Saccharomyces cerevisiae S288C: one gene and its partners. The protein of the gene in region 3 binds, or shares a complex with, the protein of the main gene of each other region. Each region holds a gene or a part of one and is shown on either strand. Other genes may lie near its edges. A codon is read from its position in the direction of its gene.

What was found. Proteins that work in one complex are often made in the same cells at the same time.
Region 1: the proteins of SNF2 (region 3) and ARP7 are in contact, whole or in part, in a crystal structure (PDB 4I6M), measured with the Saccharomyces cerevisiae proteins. Residues at the interface, in NP_014933.3 of Saccharomyces cerevisiae: Arg604 (codon at 3,832), Leu605 (codon at 3,829), Ser607 (codon at 3,823), Asn609 (codon at 3,817), Ser611 (codon at 3,811), Ala612 (codon at 3,808), Gln615 (codon at 3,799), Arg619 (codon at 3,787), Lys622 (codon at 3,778); in NP_015359.1 of Saccharomyces cerevisiae: Glu25 (codon at 1,871), Leu26 (codon at 1,868), Leu147 (codon at 1,505), Ser148 (codon at 1,502), Gly150 (codon at 1,496), Lys151 (codon at 1,493), Ser152 (codon at 1,490), Asp171 (codon at 1,433), Gly172 (codon at 1,430), Asp431 (codon at 653), Leu438 (codon at 632), Leu441 (codon at 623), Thr442 (codon at 620), Asn445 (codon at 611), Leu446 (codon at 608), Pro447 (codon at 605), Ser450 (codon at 596), Leu451 (codon at 593).
Region 2: the proteins of SNF2 (region 3) and SWI1 are in contact, whole or in part, in a cryo-EM structure (PDB 7C4J), measured with the Saccharomyces cerevisiae proteins. Residues at the interface, in NP_014933.3 of Saccharomyces cerevisiae: Leu427 (codon at 4,363), Leu430 (codon at 4,354), Ile438 (codon at 4,330), Lys439 (codon at 4,327), Val440 (codon at 4,324), Val441 (codon at 4,321), Asp442 (codon at 4,318), Ile443 (codon at 4,315), Asp444 (codon at 4,312), Asp445 (codon at 4,309), Pro446 (codon at 4,306), Val450 (codon at 4,294), Asp451 (codon at 4,291), Ser452 (codon at 4,288), Phe453 (codon at 4,285), Thr454 (codon at 4,282), His474 (codon at 4,222), Ala475 (codon at 4,219), Phe477 (codon at 4,213), Thr478 (codon at 4,210), Ile479 (codon at 4,207), Glu480 (codon at 4,204), Pro481 (codon at 4,201), His491 (codon at 4,171), Glu553 (codon at 3,985), Trp554 (codon at 3,982), His555 (codon at 3,979), Gln556 (codon at 3,976), Asn557 (codon at 3,973), Ser558 (codon at 3,970); in NP_015309.1 of Saccharomyces cerevisiae: Ser659 (codon at 2,480), Ile660 (codon at 2,477), Val661 (codon at 2,474), Arg662 (codon at 2,471), Asn663 (codon at 2,468), Tyr664 (codon at 2,465), Lys665 (codon at 2,462), Pro666 (codon at 2,459), Leu667 (codon at 2,456), Ile668 (codon at 2,453), Asn669 (codon at 2,450), Arg670 (codon at 2,447), Leu671 (codon at 2,444), Lys672 (codon at 2,441), His673 (codon at 2,438), Tyr674 (codon at 2,435), Tyr677 (codon at 2,426), Ile695 (codon at 2,372), Phe696 (codon at 2,369), Asn718 (codon at 2,303), Leu719 (codon at 2,300), Gly720 (codon at 2,297), Asn723 (codon at 2,288), Leu726 (codon at 2,279), Asn727 (codon at 2,276), Leu730 (codon at 2,267), Val731 (codon at 2,264), Ser733 (codon at 2,258), Ala734 (codon at 2,255), Asp735 (codon at 2,252).

What each region holds. Positions count from the first base shown.
Region 1 is NC_001148.4:637,762-641,467, reverse strand, and holds ARP7 (Arp7p), read right to left. Parts: upstream 1,944-3,706; coding exon 510-1,943; downstream 1-509. Other genes in the region: HTS1 (histidine--tRNA ligase), read left to right, coding at 2,449-3,706. UniProt on the Saccharomyces cerevisiae protein: Component of the chromatin structure remodeling complex (RSC), which is involved in transcription regulation and nucleosome positioning. RSC is responsible for the transfer of a histone octamer from a nucleosome core particle to naked DNA.
Region 2 is NC_001148.4:519,356-525,467, reverse strand, and holds SWI1 (Swi1p), read right to left. Parts: upstream 4,455-6,112; coding exon 510-4,454; downstream 1-509. Other genes in the region: IRC15 (Irc15p), read left to right, coding at 5,235-6,112. UniProt on the Saccharomyces cerevisiae protein: Involved in transcriptional activation. Component of the SWI/SNF complex, an ATP-dependent chromatin remodeling complex, which is required for the positive and negative regulation of gene expression of a large number of genes.
Region 3 is NC_001147.6:854,618-862,031, forward strand, and holds SNF2 (SWI/SNF catalytic subunit SNF2), read right to left. Parts: upstream 5,642-7,414; coding exon 530-5,641; downstream 1-529. Other genes in the region: YPK9 (putative acid anhydride hydrolase), read left to right, coding at 6,558-7,414. UniProt on the Saccharomyces cerevisiae protein: Involved in transcriptional activation. Catalytic component of the SWI/SNF complex, an ATP-dependent chromatin-remodeling complex, which is required for the positive and negative regulation of gene expression of a large number of genes.

The sequences.
Region 1 (3,706 bases), on a different chromosome or scaffold from region 3:
TTGTTTTGGTTCTCGCGAGTGTTTTTCCGATTGCGAGATTTTATTTTCCCTTTCGCATCATCCGGACGAGCCAAAAGCGCCATTGTTCCGGCCGCACGTGCAGCGCATGTGTACTTGCGCACTTTTGTTTACTATTGTCCTGACAAACTGATTACCAAATGTCTTTGAACAGGTGGGACAAAGAGAGACAAAAAAGCGGCTATCATGTAGCTGGGACGATATTCCGCCGCCGGGTAGCGCATATTGAAAAATGGCTGTTTACAGTGGGCCTCACTAGCTTAGAGTTCATCTCTATATAACTATTTATACAGTTTTTTTATATTAGAATGGGTTCATCGAGTTATCGCGTTTGTTTATATGTCCCTCACTCAAAGTAGGGGGTGGACTGAATCTTGAAGGAAACCCGCTTACTCCTTACTGATAGCTACTACCGGCGCTGAGAAAAATGGGTCGAGATCTCATCTCCTTCTAGCCGCCTACAATCCCTTTTGGATATTTGCGCCTTACCACTAGTTTGTTGCGTTCGTAGCCTGCGACTGCTTTCTGTCTCTTTTCAGCGTTTCGTAATCTTCCTTAGAGTACCATTTTCCCAAGCTCCATGATGGCAGATTGGCCATTGTAAGGGCGCCCAGCCATCCCTGGATTTTACGGTCCATCATGACTTGGTTGGCAAAAGTTGTCAATTTGTATTGCGGGAACCTGATTGACAGCTCCTTTATTATGCGTTGCTCCATACCTTCGATCAGAGAGGTAGATCCTGTGATGATGACGTTCGTCAACAGTAGCGAGTATACTTGTTCTGGTGATATGTTGCTGCTGCTGGCAGTACTGTTATTATCGCCAACATTGGTGTTTATATGGCTTGTACCCAATCCGTTTGGGTTGGTGGAGGTATTGGCCTTCATTGAATTTATACTAGCGCCGGCCTTCTTGACTGATTTTGCCATTAGCGGTCCCAGTCCGTCCTCTGGTGAGAATTTGTCTGATATCAGTTGAGGTTTGAAGAGATACTCTGCGAATTGGTAGCACTCCTTAAGGTCCAAGGTTAAAGTCTTGTTTAATGGCTTGAATAGAAAATTTTTCTTTTGAACCAACGGATTGTTGGGGCTTCCCGTTAACGCCGTGTACTGAAGTTGCTGATCCATTTGTTTTAACTGCTCCTGTTGCTTAGCGTATATATCTGCTTGCTCTTTGTAATACCTTTCCAACTCAAACAAGTCCTTTTCGCTTACTTGCAACATAGTAGACTTGAATTGCTGAATCCACGTGCTTGCTTCGTACCAAACGTCGGTGGACCTTTTTTGCTCGTCGGCCATGTTTTCCATGTCGTTCTCTTCTTTAATCAGTGGAGCCAACCTTTCGTGTACTTGAAAATCCAAGAAATCACCGCCAAATTTAGATCTCACTACAGCATTCTTCACCACAATACCGTCAATGATGGGAGTAACGTTACAGCCTGACGCGCCGATATCAATCACGAATGCAGAACTCTTGCCCATGGATAGGGCAATTGCCAATGGCTCGATTACAATCTGGAATACTGGTACATTTAATTTGTCGAACGCCAGCTCATAGTAGCGCTCTAATATGGCCATGTCCGGTTTACCATTGGTGGCAGGCATCGTAATCACCAGTGGCAGTTCCTCGGGTGAAACTTTCAATTGGGTGTCGTACAGATATCTCCACTGCATCTCCAATGCGTCCCAATTGTACGGTAACCCTTGGCTATCTACCAATGTATACACCTCGTCACCATTGCGTTTTTCTGCCGCAGCGTCTATCATATTGTAGGTTCCGAATATAAACTCAGCTTCCCCCCCCTCATCTGTTCTTTTAATATAGCTAGAGGGTATAATGCATTGTGGCAATTCAACGTTACTAAATCCAGCCACCGTTCTGTGCGATCCGTTATGTATCACTACGCACTTCCTATTCAATGTCATTCTTGACAGATCCTTTATAATGTAGTAATTCTCGCGCTTTTGCTAATAGCCTACTACTCTGTTCTATCTCTCTTGTTTACCATTTTCCGCTTTGTTTTCTTGTTTGAGGTTTGCTTTATTTTTTCTTTATTTTCTTCGAAACGCGGCCATCATTTTTTTTTTTCAGGATCACTCAAGGTGAACAAGTCTAAGTATTGAAAGGTGTGAAGACTTGCCGATGATATACTTATATGAACGCCGTGATGCGTACGTCTTTGATGGAAATATTGTATATATCTCTTTCTTTCCTTATAATCACTGTTCTCTCTTGTGTAATAAGTAAATCTATTCGTTTCCGTGTAAGGCGATAATTTTTTTGTTTGAAATTTTTTATCAAGTTTTTTTTTTTCTTCAATTCTAACCAGCTCGAAGATGACTTATGGCCTTGATCGACCGGGCTTTTAAATGAGTCTTACGGCCCAATGTGTTACTTTAGAATAGTTCCTTTCTGCTCGTCTCTTGCTTAATGCTTAGTAGATCACTAAATAAAGTAGTCACATCTATAAAGTCGTCTTCGATAATCAGGATGTCATCCGCTACCGCTGCTGCTACTTCTGCTCCTACTGCTAATGCTGCTAATGCTCTAAAAGCTTCAAAGGCTCCAAAGAAAGGTAAACTACAAGTGTCTTTGAAAACACCTAAGGGTACGAAGGATTGGGCTGATAGTGATATGGTTATCAGAGAAGCCATTTTTAGCACTTTATCTGGCCTATTCAAGAAGCATGGTGGTGTCACTATCGACACACCTGTTTTCGAGTTAAGAGAAATTTTAGCAGGCAAGTATGGTGAGGACTCCAAACTGATCTACAACTTGGAGGACCAGGGTGGTGAATTATGTTCTTTACGTTACGATTTGACCGTTCCTTTTGCCAGGTACGTTGCCATGAACAATATTCAGAGTATCAAGAGGTATCACATTGCAAAAGTCTACAGAAGAGACCAACCAGCCATGACTAAGGGTCGTATGAGAGAATTTTACCAGTGTGATTTTGACGTTGCAGGCACATTCGAATCTATGGTTCCTGATTCCGAATGTTTGTCCATTTTAGTGGAAGGTTTGACCAGTTTGGGAATCAAAGATTTCAAAATCAAATTGAATCACAGGAAGATTCTTGATGGGATCTTCCAAATCGCTGGTGTTAAAGATGAGGATGTGAGGAAAATCTCTTCTGCTGTCGATAAGTTGGACAAATCTCCATGGGAAGCAGTCAAGAAGGAAATGACCGAAGAAAAAGGTCAATCCGAAGAAACTGCTGATAAAATCGGTGAGTATGTTAAATTAAATGGTTCTTTGAAGGAAATTCACGCTGTTCTATCCGCAGATGCCAACATTACTTCAAACGAAAAGGCTAAACAAGGTTTGGATGATATTGCTACTTTGATGAAGTATACCGAAGCATTTGACATTGACTCATTCATCTCTTTTGATCTTTCTCTTGCAAGAGGTTTGGATTACTATACAGGTTTGATCTATGAAGTTGTTACTTCTGCATCTGCTCCACCAGAGAATGCTTCAGAATTGAAGAAGAAGGCCAAATCTGCAGAAGACGCGTCAGAATTCGTTGGTGTCGGCTCTATTGCAGCCGGTGGTCGATATGATAATTTGGTCAACATGTTCTCTGAAGCTTCCGGCAAAAAATCTACTCAAATTCCATGTGTTGGTATTTCATTTGGTGTTGAAAGAATATTTTCTTTGATCAAACAAAGAATTAATTCCTCTACAA
Region 2 (6,112 bases), on a different chromosome or scaffold from region 3:
TCTGAAGCGATCTTGACTTTGTGGGCAGCTTGAAATTTTCTTGGATGATTCTGTCCTATTTGAGCTTTACCTCCTCCCATCGAAAGGGCGAAGTCACACCGTTTTCAAAGGTGGAGTGTTACCCCACCCCCCACGCTGACTCCACATCTGACTCTCTACCGTTTTATTATAGCGAACGTTAACTCTGAATGTATGTGTGGTGTGTATGAATTGTATTTACTGCCTGAAATGGAGTCATAAACTCCTTTATACAATTTCAAGGAATTTTTGTAGCCGCGACGGGACCAGTGGGAAGTTACTAAAACCATTGTTTAGTTGAGCCGCCCAAGATGTGACTTCATGGCAGCTATACGTTCATTTGGGCTTTTGGCACTAAAGGCGCTCTTCCGACTGTATTGTTTCCATAAGGTCTATTATATTAGTTACAACATTTTATATAGGTTTATAAAAAGAAAATAGTGCGCAAGGAAGAAATAAGCAGTAAAAGAATATTGTTTAAAAAAATCGCATCATTCCAAATTGGTTAGGATATCATTTTTTAAATTGTAAAGTAATTGATACTGGTTTATTATTTGAATATCAACTGATGGATTAGTGAATAACTGGAAAATTTCTAAATCCGTGGGGAACAAATTTGGAATCGATGCTATTTTTTTTAATATTTCCGGGTCGTTGTTTAGGCAGTTTTCAAAACAAATACTTTTTTCAACCAAACATTTGATTAACTGAACACAGGATATGTTAATTGACGGTAGGAGCACCTTTGAATAATTTTGTTGCTGTAACAAAGTATTCTTACTTGTGGAATTGTTAATATTCAATATTATCTCACTTAACTTCAATAGTCCAGATCCAATATTTTCTTCAGAGCTCAACCACACAAATGGTAAATTCTTGTTGAAATTGAAGCTAGAATCTTTGTTGCCGTTATTGTTACTGTTACTGTCTGAATTATTCTCACTGATTTCAAATACTTCATTGGATAACGGCAATATTTTTTGTACAATGACTAAGATGCTAGTTAGACTCTGAGAAATTACCGGAGAAAATTGGTCGATCAGCAAACTTGGATCAGCTGATTGCGATAACACTTGCTGCAGCGGTATGGCAGAAAATAAAAACGAAACCACATCATTTAGCAAGTTGTGCCTATTGTTATTATTTTTATTGTTATCATTGTATAAATTCAAAAGTCTTCGTAACAACTTTTTGTCCTTGTGGTTGTTGTTACTGTTGCGATCATAGAGGTTGTTACCTGTGTTTTTGTTCAGAAGGATTGATTTGAAATAATTTAGGTTCGGTTTTTCCAATGAAAATAATTTGGCCAAAATATCTACACCGAAAGTTTGATATTTTCCCCATTGCAACTGGAATTCGTTGAAGGTCAAAGATTCAGAGCCAAATGATGACGAAGACGCCATTGGATTGAGTTTTGGTTGACCAAAACTTATGACTAGAATAAGAATTAACAAGCAATCAATGGACGAAGCGATCTCTAATAAATGAGAAATATTTGATAAAACAATAACCAAATCCTTCTTGAAATTTAGTATTTTCCTATTGCATGTAAAGTTTTCTGGATGGATTAAGACTAACCAAAGTAGATCAGATATAAATCTCTTTAGGTAAAAATTTCTCGACATGATTCTGGAGTTGTTATCGGAGAATGAAATATTCCTCAAAATCATCGAGATGGTAGACAGTTGATCGTTAATCAGAACTTTGGGATCCTCTGCCCCTCTGGTATTTATTTTTGTAAATGGATCATCAATTTCATCCTTGATTTTTTTCAAAGAAGTCAAATAAGGAGTTCTGTGAATTTTCAAAGGAAATTGGTTAGGGAGGAATCTTATTGGTTCAGGCAATAAGTCCCACTGTTTAACTGCGGGAGATGTCGACTGCATACTTATAAAACATTCAGTGTCGAGATCAGGCTCCATTTCAGTAGGAGTAGGGGTGGGCAATTGATTACCTGTTAAAGAATCTACCAGGATAGTGACTTTTTCATCGTTAGAATCATTCGGTGTAAGTGTAGCGTTGTTGTTTACCTTTTCAAAAATTTTATCAACCATTTTATCGTGTTGGGTAACATAGTATTGATTTGATCCAGCATCCTCATAATAATAGTCAGAAGTGTTTCGATGGTATGGAACAACATTTTGTGACAAATTTGACAGTAAATTCATGCCGAGTATTGCCAAGGAGTCTAATAATTCAGGGTATTTGACCAGAGATATTTTTAAGTTCGAGTCAGCGCTTGTGACCAACAAGGTGTTCAAGGCGGTGTTTATTTCTCCAAGATTCTTCGATTGGAGGGACATTGATAAAGCATGTAAATTAATTGCACCTAACTCTGGCGCGAAGAGAAAAATTGGCTTGTTGGAATCTATTTTCTCTCCTATTTTAGAGATGTAATTGATATCGTAACCATTGTAATGCTTGAGGCGGTTGATTAGGGGTTTGTAGTTCCTAACAATTGATCTCTTGTAGACTTTAGGCAATTTTTTTAGTTCGATTTCATATTGTTGACGTAATTTTGTCTCTAATAGCAATTTCTGTTGCCTTTGTTGATCCTCTAAAAGTTTTTGTTGTCGTTTCTGAAAATCCTCCCTTTCTTTACGTTCTAGTTCCAATTCCTTTTTGGTCTTTTTTTTCACTCTTTGCTTTCTTGGCTTCTTAACTTGCTGTTGGCCAATATTGTTATTATTTACGTTGATATTAATATTGCTATTCAAGCTTTTTGGAGTGTTTGCTGAAACCGGAACGATCCCTGCTTCTGTTCCTGGTGCTGCTGTAGCAGGAACGGACGCGCCAGGAGCCGCGGGGGTTGGTGCTGACGATGCACTATTAATGTTATTGTTGGCATTGGCCAATGCAGCGGCCTGCTGCTGTTGTTGAACTTTCTTCAATAGTTCTTGTAAGAACTGTTGCAAGAATATTCTTTTCGCTTGAGTTTCCTTTATACCTTCTTGGGAAATCATGTGTCTTTCGTAAGGTAATAAAATTCTAAAATAGATTGATTCTAATTGTTGGTAATCGGAAATTTGCAGCCTTTGGGCCACCATAGACCACTGTTGGGTCCTTGTTACTTGATCTGCACCACCGAATTTTTGAACCAACATATAAAGATAAAAAAGATTTATTTTTCTGTTGCCGATTTCTGGTATTGATTGTAACGGCATATTTCTTTTTTTACAGTTTTCAATCAAAGATTTCATAAAAAGTTCATATTGTTTGTTATTCAATTCAGTAGATATTTTCTCTTGTAATGCCGGGTTCAGACTTTGTAAAATAGATCTTTGTTGTTGCTGCCGTTGACTCTGCAAAAATTTGGGATTCTGTTGTTGCTGTTGTTGCTGTTGTGGTTGTTGATTTTGCTGTTGTTGATTTTGTTGCTGCTGCTGCTGCTGCTGTAGAGCCTGAAAACGTTGCTGCTGCTTTTGCTGCAAAGCGGCAAACATTGCAGCTCTTTCAGAGAACACTGTATTTGCGTTTGAAGTTGAATTATTGGTATTAGCGGGAGTTGCAGCAGGCACGGCAGTGACATTATTGTTATTGCTCGTTTTATTATTGCTGTTATTACGCATATTATGGTTATTACTGTTGTTGTTGTTGTCACTTGTGTTCGGAACAAATTCATTGCTTGCAGAGGATGATCTGTCCATTGAATTTGAAGCAGCGTAATTAGAAATAAGCTGGTTAGACGTCAAATTACCATTATTGGAAGCACTGTTATTGAATGGCAAAAATTGTTGATTTGCATTCGGAGTAGAGTTAGAGTTTGTGTTCGGAGTAGAAGATGAGGAATTTTGACTGATGGATTGAACATTGGTGATAAAATGGGGTGTTATTACATTATCGTTCGCAATTCCGGTGCTATTATTATTATTGTTACCGCCATATAGCTGTTGTTGAGCTTGAAGAGGTAAATTGGAAGAATCAATGATTGAATTCTTGGCTAAAATAGCCTGAGGAGACAGGCTGTTTAAATTTGTGTTGGAATTGTTTGAGTCATATGGAGAATTGAATTGGGGAGACTGGTTCTGAATGAAATTAGCAGCTTTTCCACCGGTAACATTAGCAGGAGCGGCATTATTAACGACTGCTGTTGGAGAAGTAAAGTTCGTGCTGGAGGCTACCGTGTTACTGTTATTGTTATCATTGTTATTACTATTACTGTTGTTATTGTTGGAATCCAAATTCTGGTCAAAAGGTTTTGGGTCGAAAAAATTCTGAAAATCGTCTACACCACTGGCTCCGGTATTCGTATTGTTGTTATTAGTATTGTTATTAGTATTACTACTATGGCCTGTGCTATTGTTGTTATTGGTATTATTAGCAGGATTATTATTATTATTAGTATTATTATTATTAGTATTATTGTTATTGGTAGTAGTAGTAGTAGTAGTAGTATTATTATTATTATTATTATTATTCAAATTAAAGAAATCCATCTTTATTTATTACTATTTTTATTATTACTATTTTTATTATTATTATTATTATTATTATTATAAGACACGAAAAGAAAGAAAATAGAGATAGAAAAAGAAAATTTTAAGAATAATGAGTGTAATAGGAAAATAGCCGCCAGTCAGTGATTATTACCTGGTGAACAATAATCTGCAATCCGTGAGAGGAAACAACGCGAAATGCCAAAGCAGAGATGGTGTAATAAGGATAGAGCCACACAACAATACTTTCTAGAAAAATAAATAATAAAAAAATAAGGTAAACAAAGTGTAATCAGTTGCCTTGCCGTATAGTGTTTTGCGGTATAAATATTGTTATTCAATACGAATGATGAATACCGGAAGGTGGTTATGACTAAAACGCAATGTGAATATGATTACAACTGGCAACAACCACAACAGAAACAACAATAATGCATAGTGGTAATAATACGTAAAGTCAATCAGCGTTCAGTTTTAAAAAAAATCTTTTCTCGGTGCTTTGGGGAAGGAGGGGTGGCGTCGTTTCGTAATCGGAGATACCCAAAGTTCATATCACGATAAACGTCAGTTCCGGGTTAGAATAAATTTATGCGGTAGTTTCTGTGCGAACTTGAGTGCGGTGGCATTTTCCTCCGGCGAGGCCTGGGTGGAACACTCAGGCAGGGGGTACACCCAGACCTGCAGGCATGCATCTGCTGTTTCGGCGGCTATTTAACATGCGCACGATTTTACGAGAGGAGAAGAGAAGTATGATATAATTAACGGTGAGCATTTTTGGTAATGGGAGGTGAAGACGAAATATTAAGCACGATGGAGGATTTTGCGGCAGTTTACGATGTCCTGGTAATTGGTTGCGGGCCTGGTGGCTTTACTGCAGCGATGCAGGCTTCGCAAGCAGGCCTGCTCACAGCATGTGTTGACCAGCGTGCCTCGCTGGGGGGCGCCTACCTTGTAGACGGGGCAGTCCCGTCCAAGACCTTGTTATATGAGTCTTATCTTTATCGGCTGCTACAACAGCAAGAACTTATCGAGCAACGTGGCACGCGGCTGTTTCCTGCAAAATTCGATATGCAGGCGGCCCAGAGTGCACTCAAACATAATATAGAAGAGTTGGGCAATGTGTATAAACGTGAGCTATCTAAAAATAATGTTACTGTGTATAAAGGCACGGCTGCTTTCAAAGATCCTCACCACGTTGAGATTGCGCAGCGCGGCATGAAACCGTTCATCGTAGAGGCGAAATATATTGTTGTGGCGACCGGATCTGCGGTTATTCAGTGTCCTGGTGTTGCAATAGATAATGACAAGATAATTTCATCTGATAAGGCATTGTCACTGGATTATATACCTTCACGTTTTACTATCATGGGAGGAGGTACAATTGGACTAGAAATCGCATGCATATTCAATAATTTGGGCTCTCGGGTTACTATCGTTGAATCTCAAAGCGAGATCTGTCAAAATATGGACAATGAGTTGGCTTCTGCCACGAAGACCCTCTTGCAGTGTCAGGGTATAGCTTTTCTTTTAGACACTAGAGTGCAGCTCGCGGAAGCCGATGCTGCCGGTCAGCTGAACATCACCTTGCTTAACAAGGTGTCAAAGAAAACATATGTACATCATTGCGACGTCTTGATGGTTTCTATTGGTAGACGTCC
Region 3 (7,414 bases):
AACTCATTTCTAATGAGTGGTAAATACATTTGTGGGAAATATCTTTAAGGCCATCTCGGACCTGTATATAATCTCCGAGTATTTCCATTAAAGATGAATCAAATACATGAAATATCTATTAAAGACATATACTCAAGGAAAAGAAGTAGTAGATATATCTTCTTTATATATATTGCCCTGTGTTGCTAGCAGGGTGTTGGAACAAATAATTTGTTCCGTATTGGAAAATTTATAATTAGGTCCAAGAACAAGTTCACTATGATGACGACATATTACTTTGTTCAAAGAGATGGTTTAAAATAAATATGTATAGCAGAATTATAAGAGGCGAAATCGATCAATTAGTTGAACAATTAACTTAAAATCTAATATATATAAATATATATATATATATATATAGGAAATATACGGCACGTTATACTAGAGATATTAAACATCCCAACTCGGTTAATGGGTACAATAAAAAAAAGAGGGATTAATGTTTGTCTACGTATAAACGAATAAGTACTTATATTGCTTTAGGAAGGTACTATACACTCGCTTCTGTCATGCTCGAGTCCGCTTCATCTGTGAAAGATTCAGCCACGCTTGAAGTAACAACAGGAGGCAAGACGAGGGGTCTGGTGCCATACTGTTCATCAAATTCAGTAAAGTCGAGTTGTGAGTTATCGCCCATTATCTCACAGTATTTCTTCGTAACCACTTTTTCCAGTTCTAAAGAGTCTTCGTATACTACTGAACCCTCAGTATTGTATATCCTAGCATTGGAAAATATCAGATGAAAGTCTTGAAGGGTCTCTTTAAGGGAGTTGTAAGCTAGCGTTTCAATATGCGTGTTAATATTATCAAAGGCGACAGGGTACTTAATAATCATATAGTAGTCGGGATATAGTGCTTTGGAAGGTTTGGAGAGGAAAATGTCAGAAAGTTTCCTTCCAGCTTCATTTTCATAATTGAGAGCAAAGTGGTATAAGTCTAGAGCTTGTTTAGCAACTTTCTCTCTAATATCAATAGGACTCGTTGCCGCAGCGGGCGTGCGGACATAATCAAGCCCATTTCTTGCTTTTGGCGGCCTTCCTCGTCCACGTCCTCGCCCTCGACCACGACCACGACCGCGACCACGGCCCCTTGTTGAAGTTCTTGCTGATTTAACAGATGTTTTTCCCGCTGTACGTGGTTTTGGAATGTCCATAAAATCCTCACTGGGAGAGTTATCGCCAGTAACTGGACTTGATTCAAGCGCTGGTGGTTCAGAATTTTCAGATCCTTCAAGTTTCACTTTCTTAGGTCTTCCACGGGGCCTTCCTGCCTTTCTCTTTTTAGACAAGAAATCATCGTCATTCATTGCCAAATCCGTATCTGCCCGATCTTCGGCCGATATATTATTAATTCTAGGACCGTCATTATCAGCGTCAATGTTTTCGCCTTTAATTTCTCCATTCCCATCAATCGCCTCGCTCTTATCTTCCTTCTTTGTTCGTTGTTTTCTTGCCTGCTTGTCATTTTTTTCATCATCGCTAACTTCAAATTGTCTTAACCACTGTTCTTCAGACATATTATCGTTGTAAGTTGCCGTCTTACGTTCTCTTGCACCCCTTCCATTGTAAACAGCAGCAGATTCTGATTCTTCACGTTTGAGCTCGGCACCAATATCTCTACTGTAAATATCAGGTAATTCACTCTTTTCTAAGAGACGGCTCTTTACTCCCAATTCTTCCTCCTTCTTTGATCTATCTTCATCCATCCTTGTAAGAACAGCCATTTCTTCGTCATTTCGAGCAAGAATTTCGTTGATTTCTGAGTCTTTTAACTCCTCTTCTTCTTCAACACCAGACTCTCTTTTCTTTCTACGTTCCTCTTCTGCATCCAGCAAAGATCTAAGCAACGCTTCTTGTTCCTCCGATGTAGATTTGTTATCGAATTTACCTGCTTGAATGACTTTACCATCGATATCTAGCTTCTTGTAGGCTCTCTCTAGGATAACTTCTTCAACTGAATTCGTAGTAATCAATCTTAGAATTCTAACTTCATTCTTCTGACCTATTCTATGCGCTCTATCCTGAGCTTGCAAATCTTGATGAGGATTCCAGTCAGTATCAAAAATAATGACAGTGTCTGCAGTTTGTAAATTTAAACCCAAACCACCCGCTCTAGTTGATAAGATAAAGCACAAGTATTCAGAATCAGGGGCGTTAAATAGACGTAACAACTCACTACGTTCATCAGATTTTGTATGACCATCTAACCTCAGGTACTTGATATTAATGTACCTTAAAAAATCTTCCATAATATCCATAATTTGGGTCATTTGAAAAAAAATTAATACTCTATGCCCAGTTGCCTTAAGCTTAGGCAAAATTCTATCTAATAGTTCAAATTTACCAGCAACACGCCAAATATCATCATTCGTTTCTCTTGTTGGATTGATTTGGTCCTCAACTTCTTCAAATACAAAAGGATGATTACAGATTTTCTTTAGTTGCATGATTTGATTATTGAAACCTCTTAAACCTACCATTTTCTTATTATTTTGATCACCGATAAAAAGACGACGATATTTCAACATTTGTTGGTACATAATTTGTTGTAAAGCGCTCATTTTGCACTTCACTACCTTCTCAACTTTATCCGGTAATTCTTTTTCTACATCCTTTTTCAAACGACGCAATAAAAAGGGTCTCAAGACTTTATGCAATCTCCTGATAACCAAAAGCGTCTCTTCTTCACTCAACTCAATTTTATCTTGCCCACCGGTGTTGGCAAAGGGTGTATTGAACCATTCATCAAAAGATTTCACGGAATTGAAAATCTTGGGTAACACAAAATTCAATAAGGCCCATAATTCTGGCAAGTTGTTTTGAAGTGGTGTACCTGTCAAAATTAATCTATAATCTGCATGGTAATGTGTGTTCAAGGTTAAAGAAAGCTTGGATTGCGCATTTTTCATTCTATGGCCTTCATCAATAATCATATGGACCCACTTGACCTTGGATAAAAGTGCTCTTTCTTTAATAATATACTCAAAGGTAGTCAGAACTACATCAAATTCACCTGCCCTTATTTTAGCCTGTTTGGCTTTCCTCTCATTTGGCGAACCTTTAAATGATATAGTTCTTAAGGTAGGAGCCCATTTCGCGAATTCACTGCTCCAATTTGACAGTGTAGATAAAGGAACAATGACTAAATATGGCCCACGAATATTCTTCATTTCATATAAATATGTAAGTAAGGATATCGTCTGGATAGTCTTACCAAGACCCATTTCGTCTGCTAAAATACCATTTAAATGATTATTGAAAAGCGAAACCATCCACTGTAAACCCTTGATTTGATAGTCCTTTAAGGTACCACCAACCAATATTGAAGGCTGCTTCTTGATATCTTCTTTAATTCTATGTGCGACATTGTAATAATCGACGTTAGAATTGTCGTCGTCGTCATCATATTCTTCATCCTTCATCTTGGGGACCATGGACAAATCATCCACTTCCTCCGATGCTTCCTTTATGTGGGAATCAATCATTTCTTTAGTGTACTTTTGTTGATCTTTCACGGCTCTTGTTAAAGAATCTAAAAATGCGTTTGTTTGCCTTAGAAGATGTGTAATTCTTGTATCTTTGGTTTGGTCTAATAATTTTATATAGGCTTCCTCATCGTTCGCCTTTAAAGCCTGTAAACGTTCTTTTGCCTTTTTTTCAGCTCTCTTTTGCTCATCCCTTTCTAAATTAGTATGCGTAGCAATGAGTCTATGGCCAAACTTCAACCTTTTATTCTTTTTATCTTGTCTTCTATTATATTGATTGATGGCGGATTTATTCATCGACTTTAATCTGGCCACTGCCTCAGTCTTCTTCCTTTCTAACTTAAGTAATTCATGATTCTTATAAAGTTGGTTTGTTAGCAATGCATCTTGAACGTTGATGTTTCTTATTTTCGAAAGAAAATTTGGATGTGTATTGGTTAATAAAGAATTTTGATGCCATTCAAATTGTAATACATGACCTCTTACGGCTTTTTGTAACGGTAATAATTGTAAGGCGTAGTAATCGTAAAGAGCATTTTCCCTGGTTGATTCCGTACATTCGTCATTTAGTAGCTTATCCAAACAGTCATTTACCGTAGTATCTAGGTTCAATGCAATTAAAGTTTGGTAAATGTCAGTAGCGGTATGTGTGTCAATACCAACCGGTAGAACGCCAGGTTCAATAGTAAACTTTGCATGATCCGAATTGGCCAATAAAGTCTGATAATCGATATTACTATGTGAGATATTGGGCATCGTAAAAGAATCAACCATCATATCAGGATCATCTATATCTACCACTTTTATTCCTTCCTTATATTGATCTTGAAGGACGTTTAAAGGAACGGGTTTCTGCGGTTTTGGCGGGTTATTTTGCTCGGTGTGGGTCTTATTACTATTAGGAGCTGTTTTAGCTACGTTTGAAATGGTTTCGTTTTCCTCTTTTTTCGATTCTGTTTGCGTGATTGGAGTGCCACTTACAGTTTGCGAATTTTTATCGAGGGTGCCATTCTTCGCATTATGTACACTAGATGGACCAGCTGGTGAAACAGATGCAAAATTTTCGTCTTTGCTATCTAAAGGTGCATTTCTGGTAAGCCCAGAAACGTTGTCAGTGTTAGTGTTATTGTAGTGGGAATTGGTGCCGGGTTGCTGCGTATTGTTGCCGCCATTGAGATTTGATTGGTTATTTTGATCTGTGGGTTGTCTTCTTCTCGCAAACTCACTCAAAGACAGTAACATTCTTTTGAAATCTGGAGGATGGTTAATAGATTTTTGGATAACAGCCTGAAATTCAAACGGAATAGGCTTTCTATTTACTAGACATTTTAGAGATGTGATTTGGGCCTTTAACAGTTCGGATTGCTCGGCAGTAAACATTGTCATGGGTAATCTTCTCCCCTGTTGCAGTCTCGCTTGTGCTTGTTGTGCCTGTTGTGCCTGTTGCGCTTGTTGCGCCTGTTGTGCTTGGAATTGTGCCTGCTGCATCTGCGCCTGCTGGGGCATAGGAGAATTTATCTGCGAACCTGGCATCACATTTGAATCCTGTATGTTGTGTTCTTGTAATGATCGATTTTGCGGTTGAAGCTCGGAATTATTAAGGTTTAAGTTATTATGGTTTGAGTTATCTGGTTTCTCCGCAGCATTTTCTCCATTGTTTGCTGGTGTTGGTGAAAAATTAGTTGCATTTAATGAACCAACCGAAGATTGCCGTTGTGGTAGCATGTTATTACCACCATTGCTATTTAATGGCATCTGTGTTTGCATGATTGGTGATTGATGAGCAGAAGTGCTAAAGGTCTCATTTCCATTCAATTGCATATTCGGAGCTAAATGCGGGGAAGCAGAAGCAGAAATGTGCGAGGAAGCATTATTCGGCAGTTCTGCTTGATCTGAAGAATTTGGAACAATATTTTGCTGAGAACCTGAAATGCCTTGCTGTTGGCGTTGCATTTGTAATTCTTGTCGCTGCTTGGCAGCAAATTGCAACACTTTAGTCAAATAGATAAATTCCGGCACACTCGGAGCGTTCATTCCGTGTTCATTTCTCAAATGCTGCCATCTTAAATAGCAGCGGTTGACCTCTTCGTTGCTAAATTGACGCTGTGGTATGTTCATGGCAGATAATTAATCGAAAGTCGTGAAAATAGCAGAAAGTCGCGATTAGAGAAACAACAGAATAGCTGACCTTCCCGATGATTTATATACAAAAGGTCCACGTACGTCACAAATATCTTCTTTATTGAGACTAGAGGTAACCTTTCTTTTAACTTATTGTCCTACCGCCTCAGGATGGCCCCGTTTCGTCAATCAATTTGTTGATATTTGTCTTTCAAACGCGGTTTTAACATATCGCGAACAACGGTATTCGGGTAACAGCCTATCACTATTTTTACCGGCGGCTATTTTTCCTAAACCTAGTATATATACGCGAAAATTGGCTACCTGCAAAATTCCAATAGTGGCGAATGTATTGGAATTAATCTGCAAGGAAAATAAGCGTTAGGAACTTCAACTGTATTTTGCTCACTAATTCTTCTTCATCATGTCTTCTTCTTTTTTTTTCAATTACTTGTTAGTTCTTAGTGTCCTTATGTTCACTCAGAATAGCCATTAAGAATCGTGTCTTTTTGGAAGTGAAGGAGTTTCAATAAAAAGAAAAAAGCGAATATTTCAACACTGTGTTCTAAGAAAAGGCTCTATAGCTTTTTTTATTAGTTTTATTAATTTGAAAAATGCCTTGTTTGTTTTATATATATATATGTGTGTATTTAGGGCAGCCGCGGCCAACAGGGGGTATGGGTATGAAGAGGTGATAGAAGAGTGAAAAATGAAAAAAAATGGAAATCAAGGAAAGAGTAGTGAAAAAAAGAAAAAAAGGAAAAAAGGGCAAAAAGAGAACGCAATACCATAGAGTTGGAGGTGTTGGACTTGTGAATTTATTTTTGATTGAAAATAGTTCAGAGTCAATAGATTCTTCTTTAAAATAAAAAGGAGCCCAGACTTACTGATAGATCTTGCATATACTCCGGTAATGGATATTCCCTCTTCAAACCAAATTCAACATGGCCAAAGGAGTGAAAGGAACCGAAGAATGCCGAGGGCTTCTTTTTCTTCTACAGCCACTACTTCTACGGCGGCCACATTGACTTCCGCGATGGTACTGGATCAGAACAATTCGGAACCGTACGCAGGTGCAACATTCGAAGCCGTGCCAAGTTCTATTGTATCATTCCATCACCCTCATTCTTTTCAATCAAGCAACCTCCCAAGTCCGCATTCTTCAGGGAACCTAGAGCAGAGAGGCCGCCGATTGACTGAATCAGAGCCTTTAGTATTATCCTCGGCTGAACAGTCTCGAAGCTCTTCTAGAAACCCTTCTCATTTTCGATTTTTCACTCAGGAGCAAATATCCAATGCTGAAGGCGCTTCCACGTTAGAAAATACAGATTATGACATGGCCTGGGATGCCACCCCCGCTTATGAACAAGATAGAATCTATGGTACGGGCCTATCTTCCAGGCGTTCTTCTATTCGAAGTTTTTCCAGAGCATCATCTCTCTCAAATGCAAAGTCTTATGGATCTTTCAGTAAGAGGGGTCGCTCTGGTTCAAGGGCACCACAAAGGCTGGGAGAAAATTCTGACACTGGGTTCGTTTATCATTCCGCTACACATTCATCATCCAGTTTATCGAGATATACGACCAGAGAAAGAATTCCTATTGAACTAGAAAGTCAAACAGATGAAATACTAGAAGACGAGTCTTCTACACATTCTTTAGAATCTTCAGATAGTAGGCGATCTGCAAGCGAAAATAATAGAGGAAGCTTTTCTGGTCATGATGATGTTCATAATCAGCATAGCGAATATCTAAAACCTGACTATCATGA